Stegostoma tigrinum: one gene and its partners. The protein of the gene in region 1 interacts with the protein of each later gene in a pairwise test. Links are inferred from orthologs where the notes say so. Each region holds a gene or a part of one and is shown on either strand. Other genes may lie near its edges.

What was found. The genes of interacting proteins can lie anywhere in the genome.
Region 2: the proteins of trim32 (region 1) and ptcd2 interact in binary tests that used the Homo sapiens proteins (3 or more experiments, as listed by UniProt). The two-hybrid records come from large-scale screens. The link is inferred for Stegostoma tigrinum from reciprocal best matches to the Homo sapiens genes TRIM32 and PTCD2.
Region 3: the proteins of trim32 (region 1) and CAP-Gly domain-containing linker protein 4-like interact in binary tests that used the Homo sapiens proteins (3 or more experiments, as listed by UniProt). The two-hybrid records come from large-scale screens. The link is inferred for Stegostoma tigrinum from reciprocal best matches to the Homo sapiens genes TRIM32 and CLIP4.

The regions. Positions count from the first base shown.
Region 1 is NC_081382.1:14,832,244-14,839,842, reverse strand, and holds the start of trim32 (E3 ubiquitin-protein ligase TRIM32), read left to right. Parts: upstream 1-4,586; 5' UTR 4,587-4,751; intron 4,752-7,599. UniProt on the Homo sapiens protein: E3 ubiquitin ligase that plays a role in various biological processes including neural stem cell differentiation, innate immunity, inflammatory resonse and autophagy.
Region 2 is NC_081356.1:102,211,649-102,219,654, forward strand, and holds the start of ptcd2 (pentatricopeptide repeat-containing protein 2, mitochondrial), read left to right. Parts: upstream 1-4,988; 5' UTR 4,989-5,062; coding exon 5,063-5,162; intron 5,163-5,169; exon of another isoform or gene 5,170-5,554; intron 5,555-5,648; exon of another isoform or gene 5,649-5,736; intron 5,737-7,402; coding exon 7,403-7,495; intron 7,496-8,006. Other genes in the region: mrps27 (28S ribosomal protein S27, mitochondrial), read right to left, coding at 586-666, 4,763-4,829. UniProt on the Homo sapiens protein: Involved in mitochondrial RNA maturation and mitochondrial respiratory chain function.
Region 3 is NC_081362.1:74,187,563-74,194,486, reverse strand, and holds the start of CAP-Gly domain-containing linker protein 4-like, read right to left. Parts: upstream 3,019-6,924; 5' UTR 2,881-3,018; coding exon 2,868-2,880; intron 1-2,867.

The DNA.
Region 1 (7,599 bases):
TTCCGTGAGGCACCGTATCAAAGGCCTTTTGGAAGTCTAGATAGATAACATCTACTGGGTTTCCCTGGTCTAACATACTTGTTACACCTTCAAAGAATTCTAACAGGTTTGTCAGGCACGACCTCCCCTTACTAAATCCATGCTGACTTGTTCTAATCTGACCCTGCACTTCTAGGAATTTAGAAATCTCATCTTTGACAATGGATTCTAGAATTTTACCAACTACCAAGGTTCGGCTAATCAGCCTGTAATTTTCCATCTTTTGCCTTAATCCCTTCTTAAACAAGGGAGTTAAAACAGCAATTTTCCAATCATCTGGGACTTTCCCTGACTCCAGTGACTTTTGAAAGATCACAACCAAAGCCTCCGCTATTTCCTCAGCCACCTCCCTCAGAACTCTAGGATGTAGCCCATCAGGGCCAGGAGATTTATCAATTTTTAGACCCTTCAGCTTTTCTAGCACTTTCTCTTTTGTAATGCCTACCGTACTCAACTCTGCCCCCTGACTCTCCCTAATTGTTGGCATACTACTTATGTCTTCCACTGTGAAGACTGACGCAAAGTACTTATTAAGTTCTTCAGCTATTTCCTTATCTTCCATCACTAGCCTTCTAGCATCAATTTGGAGCAGCCCAATATCTACTTTTCCCACTCGTTTGTTTCTTGTGTATTGAAAGAAGCTTTTACTGTCATTTCTAGTATTACTAGCTAGCCTACCTTCATATTTGATCCTCTCCTTCCTTATTGCTCTCTTTGTTATCCTCTGTTTGTTTTTGTAGCCTTCCCAATCTTCTGATTTCCCAGTGCTCTTGGCCACTTTATAGGCTGTCTCTTTTTCTTTGATATATTTCCTGACTTCCTTTGTCAGCCATGGCTGTCTAATCCCAACCCGGATAATCTTTCTTTTCTTTGGGATGAACCTCTGTACTGTGTCCTCAATTACACCCAGAAACTCCTGCCATTGTTGGTCTACTGTCTTCCCCGCTGAGCTCTGCTTCCAGTCGATTTTCGTCAATTCCTCTCTCATGCCCCTGTAATTACCTTTATTTAACTGTAACACCATTACGTCCAATTTTGCCTTCTCTCTTTCAAACTGCAGACTGAACTCTACCATATTATGATTGCTGCCTCCTAAGTGTTCCCTTTCTTTAAGGTCTTTTATAAAGTCTGGCTCATATTAAAACTGTATCACACGACATCTTCAATATACAGTAAGTCAATGGAATTAAAAACAATGGGTGCCTAAATCAATGCCATCTGTTTTACACTAACAACCAAAGCCACCCTCTGCTTCGGAGTACCCATCAAAAATCTACCTCGCCTTGACACATTGTTTTTTTTCCATATTGTCTGCACCATGATTATTAACACTTCAAAATTTAACTGAGACACAAGGGAAAACAAAAGCATGGAGCTGCAGTTAATGCCAATATCCTGATTACAACACTTGGTCTGAAACAGATCTTTATAGCTGAATGATTTATTGATCTAATTGTAATGATTGGACCGAGGTTAACCAGGTGGACCTCATAGAATACGAGTTCCATGATTGGGGCTGTTAACCTGGTCCAATCAGGGACCCCTGGCTGATACTAAGAACATAAGTGTCAGACTGTTCACTCTGAGAGCTGGCTCTGAGGAAGCTGGATCAGTGCCAAGAATTCTCCATGTGTAAACGAAAGGCAACTTGGTGTTGGGATACCATCTGCATGGAGTTATTTCACTAATATCTCATCATGCAAGTATGACTTCTTCGATCAAGGGATTTACTTGATTTTTACAGAGTGCTTGATAAGATCGCACATAATAAACATAATAAACTAGTCCTTAAATGATGAAAATCAAACAATTCATTGATCATGAGACAGTAGGAACTGCCAATGCTGGAGAATCTGCGATAACACGGTGTAACACTAGATGAACACAGCAGGCCAAGCAGCATCAGACCGTAATTCATAGATCATGGAGCTCTTTTGTGTGAAAGGCTTTTTTCCCGATTTCGATAAACCATTTTAATAACTTGTCTTTAAATACTGGATTTTCAATCTTACGGTGTCATTGAAGGGCTTTATTCCTGAAATCTTCCATATTAGTTCAAAAAATAAGTTAAATCTGGTATAGAAATATTAACACATTCAGGCAAAGAATACAAATAAATAATAACTAAGCAATTACCCAAATATGGCAATATTCTGAACAATGTAATCTGAAACAAAAACTATTAAAGTTCCCATTAGTAGATCAGAAATCAGGTGCCTAGCAATGTTCCATCACCTTAATAATAATGCATCAATAGCTAACACTCTGAAGATACTGTCCAGTTTTACTCACACCGTTAACACAGAAATAAGGCTCCAGTCAGTCTCCATAGAATACTTACAGTGTGGAAACAGGTCCTTTAGCCCAAGACGTCCACACTGCAACTCAGAGCATCCCGCCAATCCCTACATAACCCACTTAATCAACAAATCCCCAAACACAATGGGCAATTTAGCATGGCCAATCCATCTAGCATGCACATCTTTGAACTGTGGGAAGAAACTCACGCAGACACAGGGAGAATGTGCAAACTCCAAACAGTCACCCAAGGGTGGAATCGAACTCAGGCCCCTAGTGCTGTGAGGCAGCAGTGCTAACCACTGAGTCACTGTGCTGTCTCGATGTACCATCTCAAAACAAGCATTTTGAGTATTAAGCAAAATCTTCACATTTAGCTATCAGATCTGGTTCACTTCCTTTCCTGATGTCCAGTTAATATCTAATCACACAGAGCTCATCTATTCTTTACTCCTGTTTTTTTATCGTATTGTGCCAAAGACTTGTGTGGACTTAATATTATTCAGGAATAGGAAAAGTTAACAAACCTGTCTCTTTTTAATCTATCAGCTCATTATTGTGTCTCCAAACCAAAATTTTTCCGACAGATCAAATAGTCACCCAACACAGTTTTACCAACTATTTCAAAGATCCTGCCTTGCAATTGTTTCCATAAACCTAATAGGCCAAAATTTGTGGACTGAAGTAGGAACACAGGAATTAGGATCAAGAATAAGCCATTCAGCCCTTTAAGCTGGATCTGTCATTTGCCAAGATCGCAAGATGTGGCCTCAACTAAACTTCATTCCTGTTCCCCAATACCCTCAACTCCCTTATCTAAAGCAACTGGGGCAGACAGGAAAATGGATGGAGTTCACAGCACTTACAGTCATTCAATTGCAAAGATTTACTCCAGTGGTTTTAGAGAGCAATGTGTTGTTGTAAAAAGAAATATTGGTTGGCATGTTCCAGACACACATGCTCATCCCCAACCACCACAAAATTCAGGCCAGTTTCTTTTAGGTGAAAAAGATTCCCTGACTTCCCTTATGATACATTTTTCAATGTTTTTTTTTATTTGTGGTCTGATATTTGAATTTGTTGCCACGTTAACAGCTTGCTTGGATTCCTTTTTGAATGCCTTCCATCTGCTTGAAGAATCCAAACAGATCTCATTAGGCCAAGCAGCATCTCAGGAGCACAAAAGCTGACGTTTCGGGCCCATCAGCTTTTGTGCTCCTGAGATGTTGCTTGGCCTGCTGTGTTCATCCAGCTTCACACTTTATTATCTTGGATTCTCCAGCATCTGCAGTTCCCATTATCTCAGATCTCATTAGGCTTTCTTCTCTTCTGAAGAATGCCAAATTTCTTACTATTTCTAATTGACTGGATCCAAGATCCAGAGGAATACACATCAATCATGTTCTTCATTTACACTGAGACAAGTAGCTTTACCAGTACCGTATTCCCATAGCAGAAAAGTTTTTCCATGTATTCGGAAACTGTTTCCTAAGCACTGAACAATGTTCTGTACAAGCTGCACAATTGTACACCAGTATCACAACTCAAAACTTCCCACGGGGGATGTGCTCACGTTATTCCTTTGTTTTTACTTTCAAAACGGACTCGGGCCACACTTCAAAACAAGTACCTAATAGTCTACAGTGTTGGTGGGGATGTATAAGAACTTGGCGATAACCAGTGATTGTGAAAATGCAAGTTCTTTTTTTTTCAAAAAATGCAAAAATAGTGGAATATACTTTGCAGTACGATTTTGCAGAACGAGTATGCTTTTATTTAGGTTTCGGCATCGATGGTCAAGCAGTGCGATTTTGCAAAACGTGTACGCTTCATTTATCACTGGGATATCGCTACGGCACGGATACAACAGCGCTAAATCGTTTGGAAATAAAAGGCAAGGAACTTGGCAGAGTGAAAAATAGTAATGATCCACCTTCATAAACATGCACATTTTATATCTCATAAGTACAAGTAAAATAATGACACTCATTATTGCACACAATCCTACCGAAGGGGAAATAAAACAACTTCAACGGGGCGGGGAAATTTTGGTTTGCAACACACTTCGGCGCAACTGCGCACGCGCGTTGTCTTCCCGGGCTGGATACCCTGGAAGGAGAGGTGCGGATTTTGATTGACAGCGGGGGAGAGCCAATCAGTTTCACGTGTGCTCCATCGTTGGCGGAGGACGACAAATGCAGTCGGGCGCGGGGCGGGTGACGTCACAACGGGGCCTGGAAGCTGCCGGGCGAGCGTGAAGTCTGCGACAGGAAGAGCGCGGGCGTGCGCGCGCACGCAGGGGTCGGCGGATGACAGGCGAGCGCCGCACTGCAGGCGCGGGGTCTGCTTCCAGGGCCGCCCCGCACCCCCTTCCCCTAACGATCAAGACAAGAACCTGAAGGACTGAGCCAGCGGTAAATGTCTTCACTTGCTTTTTTCTTAAAAAAAATGTTTCTATATATAGTGCGTTGGTAGACCGCTGCGTTTTTGAAATTTGATCCGAGGCCGGTTTTGTTTGTCTTTCGGATTCCTCGCCGAAGCCTAATAGCTCGACCCTTAGGCTTAGAAGCGTCTGGACAAGCAGTGTTCCTCAAATCTATCCCCCCTATAAATCTAAGCTCCCCGACCCCGTCAAATCCAACCCACCCATATGAATCTAACCCCCTCAAATCCAACCCAATCCCCTCAAATCCAACCCACCCCTATAAATCTAACCCCCTCAAATCCAACCCACCCCTATAAATCTAACCCCCTCAAATCCAACCCACCCCTATAAATCTAACCCCCTCAAATTCAACCCACCCCGATAAATCTAACCCCCTCAAATCCAACCCACCCCTATAAATCTAACCCCCTCAAATCCAACCCAATCCCCTCAAATCCAACCCACCCCTATAAATCTAACCCCCTCAAATCCAACCCACCCCTATGAATCTAACCCCCTCAAATCCAACCCACCCCTATGAATCTAACCCCCTCAAATCCAACCCACCCCTATGAATCTAACCCCCTCAAATCCAACCCACCCCTATGAATCTAACCCCCTCAAATCCAACCCACCCCTATGAATCTAACCCCCTCAAATCCAACCCACCCCTATGAATCTAACCCCCTCAAATCCAACCCACCCCTATGAATCTAACCCCCTCAAATCCAACCCACCCCTATGAATCTAACCCCCTCAAATCCAACCCACCCCTATGAATCTAACCCCCTCAAATCCAACCCACCCCTATGAATCTAACCCCCTCAAATCCAACCCACCCCTATGAATCTAACCCCCTCAAATCCAACCCACCCCTATGAATCTAACCCCCTCAAATCCAACCCACCCCTATGAATCTAACCCCCTCAAATCCAACCCACCCCTATGAATCTAACCCCCTCAAATCCAACCCACCCCTATGAATCTAACCCCCTCAAATCCAACCCACCCCTATGAATCTAACCCCCTCAAATCCAACCCACCCCTATGAATCTAACCCCCTCAAATCCAACCCACCCCTATGAATCTAACCCCCTCAAATCCAACCCACCCCTATGAATCTAACCCCCTCAAATCCAACCCACCCCTATGAATCTAACCCCCTCAAATCCAACCCACCCCTATGAATCTAACCCCCTCAAATCCAACCCACCCCTATGAATCTAACCCCCTCAAATCCAACCCACCCCTATGAATCTAACCCCCTCAAATCCAACCCACCCCTATGAATCTAACCCCCTCAAATCCAACCCACCCCTATGAATCTAACCCCCTCAAATCCAACCCACCCCTATGAATCTAACCCCCTCAAATCCAACCCACCCCTATGAATCTAACCCCCTCAAATCCAACCCACCCCTATGAATCTAACCCCCTCAAATCCAACCCACCCCTATGAATCTAACCCCCTCAAATCCAACCCACCCCTATGAATCTAACCCCCTCAAATCCAACCCACCCCTATGAATCTAACCCCCTCAAATCCAACCCACCCCTATGAATCTAACCCCCTCAAATCCAACCCACCCCTATGAATCTAACCCCCTCAAATCCAACCCACCCCTATGAATCTAACCCCCTCAAATCCAACCCACCCCTATGAATCTAACCCCCTCAAATCCAACCCACCCCTATGAATCTAACCCCCTCAAATCCAACCCACCCCTATGAATCTAACCCCCTCAAATCCAACCCACCCCTATGAATCTAACCCCCTCAAATCCAACCCACCCCTATGAATCTAACCCCCTCAAATCCAACCCACCCCTATGAATCTAACCCCCTCAAATCCAACCCACCCCTATGAATCTAACCCCCTCAAATCCAACCCACCCCTATGAATCTAACCCCCTCAAATCCAACCCACCCCTATGAATCTAACCCCCTCAAATCCAACCCACCCCTATGAATCTAACCCCCTCAAATCCAACCCACCCCTATGAATCTAACCCCCTCAAATCCAACCCACCCCTATGAATCTAACCCCCTCAAATCCAACCCACCCCTATGAATCTAACCCCCTCAAATCCAACCCACCCCTATGAATCTAACCCCCTCAAATCCAACCCACCCCTATGAATCTAACCCCCTCAAATCCAACCCACCCCTATGAATCTAACCCCCTCAAATCCAACCCACCCCTATGAATCTAACCCCCTCAAATCCAACCCACCCCTATGAATCTAACCCCCTCAAATCCAACCCACCCCTATGAATCTAACCCCCTCAAATCCAACCCACCCCTATGAATCTAACCCCCTCAAATCCAACCCACCCCTATGAATCTAACCCCCTCAAATCCAACCCACCCCTATGAATCTAACCCCCTCAAATCCAACCCACCCCTATGAATCTAACCCCCTCAAATCCAACCCACCCCTATGAATCTAACCCCCTCAAATCCAACCCACCCCTATGAATCTAACCCCCTCAAATCCAACCCACCCCTATGAATCTAACCCCCTCAAATCCAACCCACCCCTATGAATCTAACCCCCTCAAATCCAACCCACCCCTATGAATCTAACCCCCTCAAATCCAACCCACCCCTATGAATCTAACCCCCTCAAATCCAACCCACCCCTATGAATCTAACCCCCTCAAATCCAACCCACCCCTATGAATCTAACCCCCTCAAATCCAACCCACCCCTATGAATCTAACCCCCTCAAATCCAACCCACCCCTATGAATCTAACCCCCTCAAATCCAACCCACCCCTATGAATCTAACCCCCTCAAATCCAACCCACCCCTATGAATCTAACCCCCTCAAATC
Region 2 (8,006 bases), on another chromosome or scaffold:
TCCTGAGTGATTTGTTTTTTAAATGGACAGTTGTTCATACTGGGGAAGAAAAAGAAAATATCAGGAGAAAGAACTACCTAATTCCATATCACAAAAGAATGCAGTAGCCAAAAGATGAGAGTGTCTTGAATCTTGTTTTCAAAAAAATTTGGAACTCCAAAGTACTGTAATAATACTAGATGTTTGGATGTATATCTGCATCTACTTAAAAAAGTCAGTTACTTTTCTTATTTTCCTCCTACCTTCAATTTTTTTTGTTCTTTTATCCTACTCTCTGTTTCAAGCTAGTTTATTCTGCTTTTCAAATGCTTTCCTGATATCACTGTTTTTTTGTAGCCTGCAATAGAGAAATGAAGCTAAGCAACGTCAGAGATTTTCATTGTTTCTGCACTAATTAAATGACAACCTTAACACTTAAGAATTAACTATAAATGTGGGGTTTGAATACAGAACACCCAATGAATGGAATATGATAATAAGGGGGGGGGGTCATTTTAGAAATTTGTACAGGAATATAAAGACTTCCTTCCAGAAGAAATACTCTTCAAAAAGTTGAAAGTTATATCTTCATGGTTTTCTACTTACCCAGATTTTGAGGGTCTTTCTCTCGCTGGTCCCATTTCTGATTATCTAAATAAGCTGCAGAGAGCAGACACCTTTTCGTTACTGGAAGAAAAATATAAATAAATCATCACCTTATGGTCATAAGAAAACAAATGAGAGAAATGTAGGTAGTCCATCAAATCTATGGCTTCTGTGTGAGATACTACTAACAGATAAAGTCATTATCCTCATCCTGCCAACTCTCTTCTCCTCCACCACCAATCATGCTGCTGTAAAAGGCAAAATCCTTGGTAATTTAAACGTCTGTGAAAAATACTTCATTGCGTTTAGATTAATTTTATGCTTTCTGATCCAGCACTGATCCACCCACAACTAAATGTTGACAGAATCTTTTCTCTGAATTTCATCCTCAGTCATTTCTTCACAAATACAACACCTTTCCAAAACAAAATGTTAAATTCACCAAGTCCCTTTGTGGTTATAGGTTTTTAGAATAGGTCTCAAGTGAGCTGCTTTTCTGCTGATGACATCAAGTGATGCTGTTAAGACTGAAGTTAGGCTGGAACGCGCAGCTGAATGTATAATCAGATCAAACCATGATTTTATTGAATGGTGTGCAGTCTGGAGGGGCAATTGCCTGCCCCTAATTCAAATTAACATATCAGCAGATGAATCCAAACTCTGTCTGAAAGAATACCAAAATCAGTTTCTGTGACTGGGTCAGTGGCATTACAAAGGATTATGTTTTGCATCATGGGATAATAAGGTGTAGAGTGGATGAACACAGCAGGCCAAGCAGCAGCAGAGGAACAGGAAAGCTGGTATTTTTCATTTTAGCATATTTTGCATCGTTCTTCCTTTTGAGAGGCTTTGCTGCTTTAATATTTCAAATTAAGCTGCAATGTTGGAAATTTCTGAAATGACTCAATCTTATGAATCAGGTTCCCATGCGTGCACTGCAGTTATAATGTACATAAACAAACAACATTTTGCCCCAGATAATGAAATGTGAGGCTGGATGAACACAGCAGGCCCAGCAGCATCTCAGGAGCACAAAAGCTGACGTTTCGGGCCTAGACCCTTCATCAGAGAGGGGGATGGGGTGAGGGTTCTGGAATAAATAGGGAGAGAGGGGGAGGCGGACTGAAGGCAGATCTTCGGTCTGCCTCCCCCTCTCTCCCTATTTATTCCAGAACCCTCACCCCATCCCCCTCTCTGATGAAGGGTCTAGGCCCGAAACGTCAGCTTTTGTGCTCCTGAGATGCTGCTGGGCCTGCTGTGTTCATCCAGCCTCACATTTCATTATCTTGGATTCTCCAGCATCTGCAGTTCCCATTATCACTGGTAACATTTTGCCCCACACTACTTTAAGTTTACTTCTTTAGTTATCACCCATTGAGATGAGAAACATAACAACGTTTTGCCATCATTGTCTTGTCATGCAATAACATTAAAGTGTATTAGAGCTCAGCATGTTATTCCTTGGTAGTCACAAATAATCCGTTCTAAACTGAGCTCTTAACCTAATTTCTGCAACCACAATGGGGCTAGCTATTTTAATAACTGGAAATCACACTTTAAAAAGAAAGTAACCCTTGGGAGAGTTTTAGAAGCCTTCTAAACAGTTTCCTCCAAAGGTCAAATTAACATTCCATTATTTGTACAAATAATATCCTAGGTCAGGTGCTACATGAATTGGAGAAAAATTACTGACTTCAATCTCTGTAATTAGAGGGATATGGGGGTGGTCATCTGGGATAAAGATTTCAGCAAAGGCCAGTAGGATGTCAAAATTGCAGATTCTCAGCTTTCAACCTACTGCATGGGCTTTTGTGGTGCAACAGTAGTGTTCCTCTCTCTGAGCCTGGAGGCTGAGGTTCAAATCTCCCTACCTCCAGAAGAGTGTAATAACATCTAAGAACAGGATGATTAGAAAATATCTTCTTACTAATGCGGAGAAACCCCGGTGATGAGGAAATAGTTTGTGGCAGGGGACAAAGGCAATGGCCCCCATTTTGTCAAAGTTTAAATGGATGAAATGGTGGCTTACCCAAGAGTTAATATTGAGCAAACAGTCTGACAACAGAGGCATTTAATGAATTGCAAAGAGTTGTATGTGTTATCAGTGCACATGTTTCGATGATGTCACCAACAGGCAGGCTGTAAATAAGGAGGAAAATCACCAGTGGTAATATGGCGAGGTAACAAGAGAAGTTATTTTTTCAAAATGTATTAATCACTATTTAGATTACAGCAGTTCCAATAAAGTGGTGGCTCTCATGCAGGTATGTGGAGGTTTAATTTAACCAAGTGCAGAGATCACCTCAGAGCACCAAAGGGCCTTGCCCAAATTTGAAAATCGGAGAAAGTGACTGGCATGGACTCTGAAGTGATATCCCACTCTCTCTAATTATAAATGACTGAAACAAATTGTTATTGCTTAATTTGCATTTTTACATTAATTGGGGAAAAGCTATTGATGCTTCATCTGTGTCTTAATAAGTCTACTATCCATACAGCAATTCTGCTGCCTCTTGAGAGTTTGGCTCTACCATGTTGTTGCAGGGTCATATGGAATGCAGAATGCCATCCTAGCCAATTCCACCAGTTCAACGTATTAAAAAAGACATGAGCTGTTATCCAAACTAAGACTGTCTTCCGTACGTAAAGGTCAAAGAACAAGTCTGATCGTTCATGATTACGAAGCAAAATTATACCGACGCTGTTAGTCAGAAATTTTAAAAGGATGCCGGGAATACTGTCACAAACCAGTTCACAGATTGGAAACGTTAACTGTCCCTCTATTCACGGGTGCTGCCAGAGCTGCTGAATACATCCAGCACTTCTATTTTTACTTATCTGCTACTTTTCCAGTTACTGTTACAAAAGCTGTCGGAACAAACTGGGTCAGGATACCAAAGGCCAGTAAATCTTGGAGCAAGAGGAGTGAAGCGCTGGAGAAACTGGTCAGCTTTGACAGTAACTGCGCACACAGGTAGCTGAGGTTTAACCTGCACATGCCGCTCGGCCCAAGATAACAAGGTGTAGAGCAGGATGAACACGACAGGCCGCTTTGCAGAACACCTCCGCTCAGTTCGCAACAAACAACTGCACCTCCCAGTCGCAAACCATTTCCACTCCCCCTCCCATTCTCTTGATGACATGTCCATCATGGGCCTCCTGCACTGCCACAATGATGCCACCCGAAGGTTGCAGGAACAGCAACTCATATTCCGCCTGGGAACCCTGCAGCCATATGGTATCAATGTGGACTTCACCAGTTTCAAAATCTCCCCTTCCCCCACTGCATCCCTAAACCAGCCCAGTTCATCCCCTCCCCCCACTGCACCACACAACCAGCCCAGCTCTTCCCCTCCACCCACTGCATCCCAAAACCAGTCCAACCTGTCTCTGCCTCCCTAACCGGTTCTTCCTCTCACCCATCCCTTCCTCCCACCCCCAGCTACCTACTAACCTCATCCCACCTCCTTGACCTGTCCGTCTTCCCTGGACTGACCTATCCCCTCCCTACCTCCCCACCTACACCCTCTCCACCTATCTTCTTTGCTCTCCATCTTCGGTCCGCCTCCCCCTCACTCCCTATTTATTCCAGTTCCCTCCCCCCATCCCCCTCTCTGATGAAGGGTCTAGGCCCGAAACGTCAGCTTTTGTGCTCCTGAGATGCTGCTTGGCCTGCTGTGTTCATCCAGCCTCACATTTTATCATCTCGGATCCTCCAGCATCTGCGGTTCCTATTATCACTGCATAACCCAAACGGCTCTCTCAGCGCGCGCACTCCCTGCCGCCGACCTCGGGGCGCGCGGGCGCGGGCGCACGCCCTGCCGCCGACCTCGGGGCGCGCGGGCGCGGGCGCACTCCCTGCCGCCGACCTCGGGGCGCGCGGGCGCGGGCGCACGCCCTGCCGCCGACCTCGGGGCGCGCGGGCGCGGGCGCACTCCCTGCCGCCGACCTCGGGGCGCGCGCGCGCGGGCGCACTCCCTGCCGCCGACCACGGGGCGCGCGGGCGCGGGCGCACTCCCTGCCGCCGACCTCAGGGGGCGCGCGCTCACCGCGTCCGAGCGACTCCAGGCGTGCGTTCGCGACAATGCCAGCATCCCATGGCGCCCTCAGTACCCGACAATGATCCCGGGAGCGTGCTCGCTACCCGCCAACCACCCCGGGTGCGTGCGCTCCCTACCTGGCGCGCCACCACCGCCTCTCGCTCTGATCAGCCTCGCACTCCGCCGCAACAAGGAGGCTGCCATTTTGGAATATACGAAAACTGGTCTGGACCGGGAGGCGTCCAACATTTACAATAAATGCATCGAAGATTTGTTTATGTTTCCAGAAGAACATGTTTTTGAGGTATTGAACGTTTGCAAAAAGAAAATTTTGAAATTAAATCATTTATCCGGGCCTGTGGTGATTTCGCTCCTTAGGTTTATTTGTAAACTGGCTCCTCCCCCCCTCCTGTGCTTGATGGTAGTGTCCGGTTGGAATGGCGGCGATTGTGACGCGGGCGCTCCGCGTTCTGTTTCAGAATGTCAGAGGCGGCACGCTTCACTGTCAGCATAAAGCCCGTGATTGTTGGCGCTGTGGTGAGTGGACCAGCAGGGTTTTAGGGGAAACGGAGAGTCCACAGCGAGTGTCAGCGCTTTAGGGGAGCAGGGTCGTGGTCCTCCACAATGATTGAGGGAGGAAGCGTGAGGCTCGGCGCTTTAGGAGAGAAGGAATGAGTGGGGATATGTATGAAACGAAGGGACTTGGGGATGACAAAGTGTGGGGCTGGATGAACACAGCAGGCCGAGCAGCATCTTAGGAGCCCAAAAGCTGGCGTTTCGGGCCTAGACCATCCATCAGAGAGGGGGGAGGGGAATAGCTGTATGTGGAACACGAGTATCCAACGTGAATGACTGAGGGAGTCTCGCCGCTTAGGCTTGCTCTAACGAAGAGGAGAGAATGGAATATGATTGTCGACAGTGACTGACAAGTGAGGGACCACTACGCTTTAGAGTTGGGGAGAGGGAACGAGTGCACACAACGACAGGGCACCAGCCCACTGTGGAGTACCTCTAAAGGAAAGCAGTGGAGAGCTGTAGGAACATTGTAATAACAACTTATCCCAAGCTGCACTGATTTCAAAGTTCCGATAGAAATTAAGGAATTTGAAAAGTGAGAAGACTCTCCACAGACTGCGTTTTATCGCGTGCCCTCGTCACAGTTATATTGAGTGGGCTACTTGGAAGAGGATTTTTGAAATGAGTAAAATAAACAAAGTATTAAACGTTGAAAGATAACTGCAGATGTTGCAGAATTTGAGATAACAAGGTGTAGGCCTGGATGAACACAGCAGGCCAACAGCATCAGAGGAGCAGGAAAGCTGACGTTTCGGGCCAAGACCCTTCTTCACAAATTCGTTTCAGCCTTCAGCCTTCCTGCTCCTCTGCTGCTTGGCCTGCTGTGTTCATCCAGCTCTACACCTTGTTATCTCCAGCATCGGCAGTTCCTACTGTCTCTTGTTATTTATATGCTTCGGTTTGCTGAGGTCGTAAGCTTACTTCCTAGTTCTGTCTTTCAGTGGTTTGTATATTGGGTTCAGTTCAATGTATTTGTTGATGGAGTTCCAGTTGGAATGCCAAGCCTCCAGGAATTCTCTGGCATGTCTCTGTTTGGCTCGTGCTATTATGGATGTGTTGTCTGTGTGTATTGAGACCAGTGAGAATTGGTCATGTCTCTTGGTGGCTAGCAGGTGTTAGTAACAATAAGGATGCAAACCACTGAAAAGCAGAACCAGAAATAATGCCAACCATCTCAGCAAACTGAGGCATATGAATAACAGGTGGGACAGACACCAACGCTTCACCAGAGGCGCAGTGATGATGTTACTGAGGGTGAAGAAACGTGTGCAACCAAATCCATATACAGGGAGTGGTTAGTGTCTGGGATGCACTGCCTGAAAGTGGGATGGAGGCAGGTTCAATTCAGGCATTCAAAAAGGAATTGGATTATTACCTGAAAAGGAAGAATGAACAGGCTAATGAGCGAAGGCCAGGAAATGGCATTAGGTGAATTGCTTGTTTCAAGAGCTGTTAGATTCATGATTGGCTGAATTGCCTTGCTTTGTGCTGTAATAATTATTTCTCTGAGAGCGTGGTTTAGGCCTAGAAGTTGTTCATCTCGCAGTGAGACTTGTGGTGGAATTCAGAATATTTTGAGGAGGTTGAAAATGGTTTTGAAGAGAAGTGTTATTGTGCCTGGTAGCATGGTGGCCAACTGGTAGAGTCAGGTGATCAGAAGCTAAATGGGAGCAGAACAAAAGGGAAGTGGATCCTCATGGACAACAAGTTTGTAACAGGAAAATGTGGACCGGTGCAGAAAGAGATGGAAAGGCATACTTCAAGCCAGGCATGAATGATCACTTTGCTATCAGAGGAAGTGGCAGCTCAAGGAACAACACGACTATTTTCATTAAGTTACTGTGACTCTAAAAATACTCAATGAATAATTGGCTAAAGTCACTAAACAGATAGAAACCAGCCTTTCAAATTTAAAATGTAAATATTTTTAGCTACTGTAGTGTTGAACACCTGACTCAGTTATGCTAATTTCAGGGTAAAAAGCAGGAAGGGAAAAATGGGATTTTTGAATTAAAAGCAAACTGCTAAAACGACAGCAGGTCAGGGAGCATCTGCAGAGAGGGAAATTGAAGAAAATGCTTTTTCCATAATGCAATTTCCATAATTAAGAGAAGATTTAATAATACAACATGACCTGTAATGACAAGCAGTGTTTTCCCTTTAATATTAAAATTAAATCTGTCTTAATTTTATATTTGCAGAGAAAAGATATTTGTTATCTGACAATGTGATTCGTTTGATGGAGTTTCAGCAGAAGAAGGTTGCAATTGCCAATCAGATGTATGTTAGTAGAGGTATGTTATACGTGTATCAGTTTTCTTAATTGTCTTTTCCTGAGTAAAAGTACTTCAGGAAACACAGCTGGGTGTGAAACTAATCTGCCAGTTCACAGAAACCTGCTAAAAAAAATAAGGTTTCTGATTTATTATTCTATCTTTTAAAGGGGCAATGTAGTTTTGTTTCAATTCCTCCATCTCACTAAACCAGGCGTTCCCCATCATTTTGGGTATATTATTTAGCACAGCCGAAATATGTGCATAATTTAGCTCATCAGCCTTTTTTGTTCTGTTTCGTTGCTTTTGCTCCATATTCATCCAGTAGCATTCAAAATCAGCTTTTTATTTCTGCATTTTGAATATTGAAATGAAGACATGAGAATTTTCAGTCTGATGGACAGCACAGTGGCTCAGTCATTAGCACTGCTGTCTCACAGTGCCAGGGACCCAGGTTCGATTCCACCCTTGGGTAACTGTCTATGCGGAGTTTGCACGTTCTCCTTGTGTCTGCGTGGGTTTCCTCCGGGTG
Region 3 (6,924 bases), on another chromosome or scaffold:
TGGGGAAATGTGAGTTTATACATGCAGGAAAAAGGGGAGGGGGGTGGGGTAGGGAGTAAACAATAGGATAGAGCCTAAAGAGAAAGAAGAGCAGCTGGACAGATAAAGAGTTGATAATGATCAGGATGGGACAGTGAATAGTTATTAATGGGGACTATTAGTGACTAATAACAGGTAGTGTGTAATGGCAGGCTATGTGGTAACAAGGCCTGGTGTGAGGCGTAGGGGGCTGGGACATGGAGAGTTTAGGCCCTAAAATTATTGAACTCAATATTGAGTCTGAAGGGCTGCAGGGTCCCCAGGAAGAAAATGAGGTGTTGTTCTTCTAGCTTGCGTTGAGCTTCACTAGAACACTGCAGCAAGCCACAGACAAACATGTTGGTCAGGGAACAGGGTGGTGCATTAAAGTGGCAGGCAACAGATAGTTCAGGGTCTTTTTTGTGGGCAGAACACAACTAACATCCACTACAAACCCACTAGCATCCACATCCAGAAGATCATCAGGCACCATTTCCACCACCTCCAGGCACATATTCTCCTCCCCTCCCTTGTCTGCCTTCCACAGGGACCGATCCCTCCAGGACACCCTGGTCCACACTTCCTTCACTCCCAACACCTCACCACAGCCCTACGGCACCTTCCCCTGTAACTGGTGAAGGTGCAACACCTGTGCATTTACCTCCTCCCTCCGCAGTATCCAAGGGCCCAAACATACCTTCCAGGTGAGGCAACACCTCACCTACACTTCCCAGAATCTAGCCTACTGCATTCGGTGCTCACAATATGATCTCCTCTACATTGGGGAAATGAAGAGTACACTAGGTGACTGGTCTGTTGGTGGCTGCACTTTTCGATTATGAGAAAGGAAAAAGGCACAAAGGCTAAATGTCTGAGATGATGAGGGTAATGTAAAAGGTGCATGCTTATACCATCTGCATCTTGCAAAGAGAAGAAACTGTGGGATGTTAGGAGGATAAGTAGAAGTCTATTGTCTCCCACTAGGATTTCATCCGCTCTACTGATCATAGTCAGTCATGTAAGAGACAGTTGATAATGCTCAGTAGGATACTGTCCAAAAGGGTTCGTATATATAGGCATGCCTGAGCTCCTGTCGCCCCAAGTTGTGTGCCATCTTGTCCTGAAACAGGGAGGGAAGAATGTCATTGAGCAATTAGCAATCCTTTTATGTAATGCAGCTGACATGGGGAAACAGCTGGCTGGGTCTGCAAGCTAGGAGAAACATGTGAAGCTTGTAGTAGTGCTAAGAGTGTGATGAAGCATTTAAATATCAAGTATGGGTCTTGATTGATGGAGGTTGTTACCAAATGATTGTTTTGGGCAGTGTCTAATGCTCACGGTTGGGTATAGAATTTGAAAAAGCGTTCACATTGACTGCTACAGAGGGAATTGTACTTATTGCATGAGTCTATCCAGATTCTTGCGGCTGGACTTTTGGCAATGACCTCCACAGCTATTTACTTCCACTATTTCCTGAACACAAGTCTGGTTGGTTTTTGAGGCTTTTCTTTCACGAAATCTCTCTTACTTACCATCTTCTCAACTAAGATCTCTGGTTATTCACTCAAAAATCCTGACAATCACTTTCTTTCTCATGCTATGTTATTATTCAACGTTTTACAGGTTAGATTTATTTTCTGTAAAATATTAACAGTCTCTCTAGCTGCTGTGCTCCTCCCTTTTAAGAGGTGCAGGATAATTTTAACTAATGCTGGCCTTTCACAAAATTGGTCCCCCATTCAGGTGTTCAGCCAATTAGGATGGCTTTTAAAACAGCTGGCAGCCATAAGTTGTTATGGTGCTTATGTGACATCACGCTCATATAGGTTAATCATGCTTTGCAATGAAACCTACTGAATTTAGTACCGTCATCAATCCCAACATTAATCCTCCCTCTCCCAGAAAATACCAGAAAAAAATCTAAAATGACAAGCACAATAATATATGATATAATTTCATCAACTGAATCATTTTAAAGTGATTTTCTCAATAGCCTAGGTTTGAACTTGATATATTTCTGTTCCAGTGCTGAATTTTTGAATGGCTAGTGAACATAATTTCTCAGAATTTCATTTATGCACTTGTTGATACTAATACAGTCAAGGTAGCAGTAATAGTAACTTAATTGGAGAGATTCAAACATTGAGGAAATTTTGTAATATTTTATTAATTCATGGGATGAGTGTGTCACTAGCTAGGCCTGCATTTTTTGCCTATCGGGGAGGGCAGTTAAGAGTCAATCACATTGTTTTGGGTCTACAGTCATATGTAGGCCGGACTGGGTTAGGATGGTAGTTTCATTCCCGAAAGGACATTAGTGGCCCAGATGGTTTTTTCTGACAATCAACAACGGTTTCATGCTCATTATTAGACTCGTAATTCCAGATTTTTATTGCATTCAAATTTCACCAACTGCCATAGCAGGATTCAAACTTGGGTCCCTGAAATATTACCTGGATCTCGAGATTAACAGTCCAGTGCATGTGCCCACACTCAATAAAGTAAAACAGAAAGCCATTAAAAGAACAGTTTAATATTAACTATCAACAGATATATTTGTACAAAACTTTGCACCTTATAAATGGTAAATAAACAAAATAATTGTGAATCCTTTGTTTAATTATTTACATTCACTTGAATAAGCAAAATACTTTCGCTCATTCAAAATCCTGTTTATCTCAACACAAGTAAGCATTTCAATTTATTTTCTGTACTTTTGTTGAAACATGAAGCAGAATTAATCTTTTCATTCAGAATGCATTTTTGTGAAAACTTAAACAGCCAATTATCAGTTTATTTTGAACTGGAGGCAGCAACTGCAAACTGAAAATTAAGGGCGTAATACTTACCAGTTTGTATCATGTTGAAAGAATTTTTAAAGTTCCACAGTTGGAATAGTACTTGTACACACTGGATTATTCATACAAGAAAGCAGTTTGGGGTAACGAACGTTGATTTATCTATGCCAAAATTGCAATGGACTACTGACTGAAATCAGATTCAACCAGTACAACTATCACGACCATGGTGTTGCTGTGGAACATTCATGAGTTGAGAATCTTTAAATAGCCTGGCAGCTATTTCAGGTGCTGAAAATCCTTCCAAGTACTTGATGCACTTGTAGATCGTATGAACTTCTGTACATTATTCAAACTATTTTGATGCCCAGCAGAATGTCATAAGCCGTGCTGTATGATATTATTCAATCTAAGCTTCATAACAGGTTCAAATTTTAGCTATTTAACAATTGAAATGTCAAAAGCAAATTGCACTGATTGTGAAGAACATTCACTACAAATATGAGACTGAAATATTGCATGGCAGAAATATTGCAGCCAAATCCTTCAGTTGATATAAATTTGAAAAATACATGTTCATTTTAAAGATTAACTGAATGCATACTTCACAAATGAAATATTAATCTTCCAAGAATCTGAAATAAAGTCTCAATTGCAGTTCAAATCTTGAATGCTTTCATTGATGAAGAACCAAGAACACATACTTTGTATAAATAAACTCAGATTTCCTCTGTTGACAGTTATGTTTAAACATTTGACCATTAACTTCTAGTTAAGCAGCTGTATTAAACTACAATAGGAAGCGTTGTTTTCTCATATAAAAAACAAATATCCTTATGTAACTAAATTTAAAAAGATGATTTGCAATGTAGCCTGCAAAATCAATATTCAGTTTTGGGTCAGGTAAGTGCTTGCATACACGCTTGTTTAATTACAAGGGGACATTAGATAGATTTGCCCTTGAAATCTCAGAAGCGACCAGCAAGAAAAATGCCAGAAAGGTATAGCAATAATCTTGGAGGATTTTAACTTACCAGTTAGAGTTGAAACATCAGATGTGCAAAGCATTCTAGTTGAGCATATTCGTGGGTTAATCAGAGAATAGGCTTTACTAGACCTGATATTATGCAATGATATAGAATTAACAAATCACCTCGTGGTGTACACATCCCTAGATAACAGCAATTAGAATGTGAATTTTATATTCAGTTTGAGGAAAACAAAACTGAGTCAAAGACTAGTATTTTAAAATAAACTAAGGGCAATGATGATGGCATGAAAGCTCTGGTTGAGAGTCTTTAGAACTCCATATCACAAAGAACTGTGGGAGCAGGGCATTGGTGCATATATCATGCTGAGATAAATAGGTTCTTGATCAGTAAGGGAATCAAGGGTTATGGGGAAAGGTTGGGAAAGTAGATATGTGAAGAGTCGATCAGCCACGATCCTATCAAAAGGTGCAGCAGGTTTGAGGGGCCAAAAACGGCTTACTCCTGTTCCTATTTCTTATGGTCTGAAAGCAGAACCAAAGTGAACTAACAAATTAGGTTAGAAAGCAATAGTGTGGTCGACATTTAAGGAAATATTTCAAAATGCACAAATTATATCCATTTCAACACCAAACAAAATTCTGAGAGGAATCACCATCCATGGTTAGATAAAGAAGCTGTAATAGTATAAACCCTAAAGGAAGAGCATATACTTATGTAATAGTAGGTGGCAGATCTGAAGATTAGACAAGATATATTTTAAGAAAATGATTAAAACATTAATGGGAGGGAAGAAGTGAGAGAAAGATAGCTAGAATTATAAAAAAGGCTGCAAATTGCATAAATGTAATCTCTTGGTGGTTCAATGTACACAAATGTGTGAGAAGTTCAAATGAAAAACCAGACATCGTAATTTTGACAGATGAAGTAAGGATTTAACAAATGTGAGCCTTTCATCATCTTCCTCCTGGGACTGGGTCTACTTCACCGCAATTGTTTTGCAAATGCCAACAACCACCAGTACAATCTGTGCATCTGGCAGCAGCTCTTTGAAATTTACAACACATAGTCTGAATATAAAATGAGAGCATAAATTTTGTAGATATTTGTCCTATAGAAAACAAGTATGGAATTAATCATGGAAAAAAGATGGTCGACAAATTAAGCAGCTATTTTGCATTTGTCTTCATTTTAGATACTTGGATAAACTGCAGAATTGGGCCGGAAGGTGACAAATGGAGTTTAATACGGATAAATGTGAGGTGATTCACTTTGGGAGGAATAATTGGAAGGCAGAATATTGGATCTGTGGAAAGATTCTGGGTAGTGTGGATGTGCAGAGGGACTTTGATGTCCATCTACAAAGATCCCTGAAAGTTGCCACTCAGGTTGATAGTGCTGTTAAGAAAGCTTATGGTGTGTTTGGTTTTATTGGTAGGGGGATTGAGTTCCGGAGCCGGGATGTCATGCTGCAACTGTACAAAACGCTAGTGCGGCCTCACTTGGAATATTGCGCGCAGTTCTGGTCGCCCCATTACAGGAGGCATGTGGAAGCATTGGAAAAGGTGCAGAGGAGATTTAGCAGGATGTTGCCTGGTCTGGAGCGCAGGCCCTGTCCAGAAAGGCTGAGGGACTTGGGTATGTTCTCATTGGAGAGAAGAAGGCTAAGAGGGGATTTAATAGAGACATACAAGATGATCAGAGGATTAGTTAGGGTGGACAGTGAGAGTCTTTTTCCTAGGATGATGACTTCAGCTTGTACAAGGGGGTATAGCTAGAAATTGAGGGGTGATAGATTTAAGACAGATGTCAGAGGCCGGTTCTTTACTCAGAGAGTGGTAAGGGCGTGGAACGCCCTGCGTGCCAATGTAGTTAACTCAGCCACATTAGGGGCATTTGAACAGTCCTTGGATAAGCATATGGATGATGATGGGATAGTGTAGGGGGATGGGCTTAGAATAGTTCACAGGTCGGAGCAACATCGAGGGCCGAAGGGCCTATTCTGTGCTGTGTTGTTCTATGTTCTATGTTCTAGAGGATACTAATCTCAGAGAAGACTGTAAATCAGGAAATGGAAGGGAAGAAAGATCAAGAAAATTATAATCCCAAGGGAAGCAAATTGTTGGAATTGCAAGCTGACAAGTCTCCCAAGTCCTGATGTACTTTATCACTGGGATTTGGAAAGGCTATCTTTTATATTCTTCTATATTTTTCATTGAGGACTGAAAAGGGATAGGGTTTCTTTCAATCAGTCAGAAGTGCCAAGTGGATGATCCGTCTTGGCCTCCTCCAGTGGTCCCCAGCATCACAGATACGAGTTTTCAGCTAATTTGATCCACTCCACACGATATCAAGAAATGATTGGAAACACTGGATACTGCAAAGGCTACCGGCCTTGACAACATTCTGGCCATAGTACTGAAGATTTGTGTCCTAGAGCTTTCCACTCCCGTAGACAAGCTGTTCCAGTACAGTTACACTACTGGTATCTACTCAACAATGTGGAAAATTGCCCAAGTATGTCCTGTACACAAAAAGCAGGACAAATCCAACCCAGACAATTACCAACCCATCAGTCTACTCTCGATCGTCAGTAAAATGATGGAAGGTGTCATCAACTGTGCTGTCAAGCTGCACTGCTCAGCACTAGCGTACTCAGTGACGCCCAGTTTGGGTTCCGCCAGGGCCACTCAGCTCCTGACCTCATTACAGCCTTGGTTCAAACATGGACAAACGAGCTGAATTCCAGAGGTGAAGTCAGAATGACAGCCCTCGGCATCAAGGCTGCATTCAACTGAGTGTGCATCAAGGAGCCCTAGCAAAACTAGGATCAATGGATATCAGGGGGAAAATGTTCCGGTAGGTGGAGTCATACCTGACACATATGAAGATGGTCATGGTTGTGGGAGGTCAATTATCTCAGCTCCAAGACATCTCTGCAGGAGTTCCTCAGGGTAGTGGCTTTGCCCCAACCATCTTCAGTTGCTTCATCAATGGCCTTCTCTCCATCACAAGGTCAGAAGTGGCGATGTTTGCCGATGATTGCACAATGTTCAGCACCATTCATGATTCCTCAGATACTGAAGCAGCCCAAGTTCATGTGCAACAAGATCTGGACA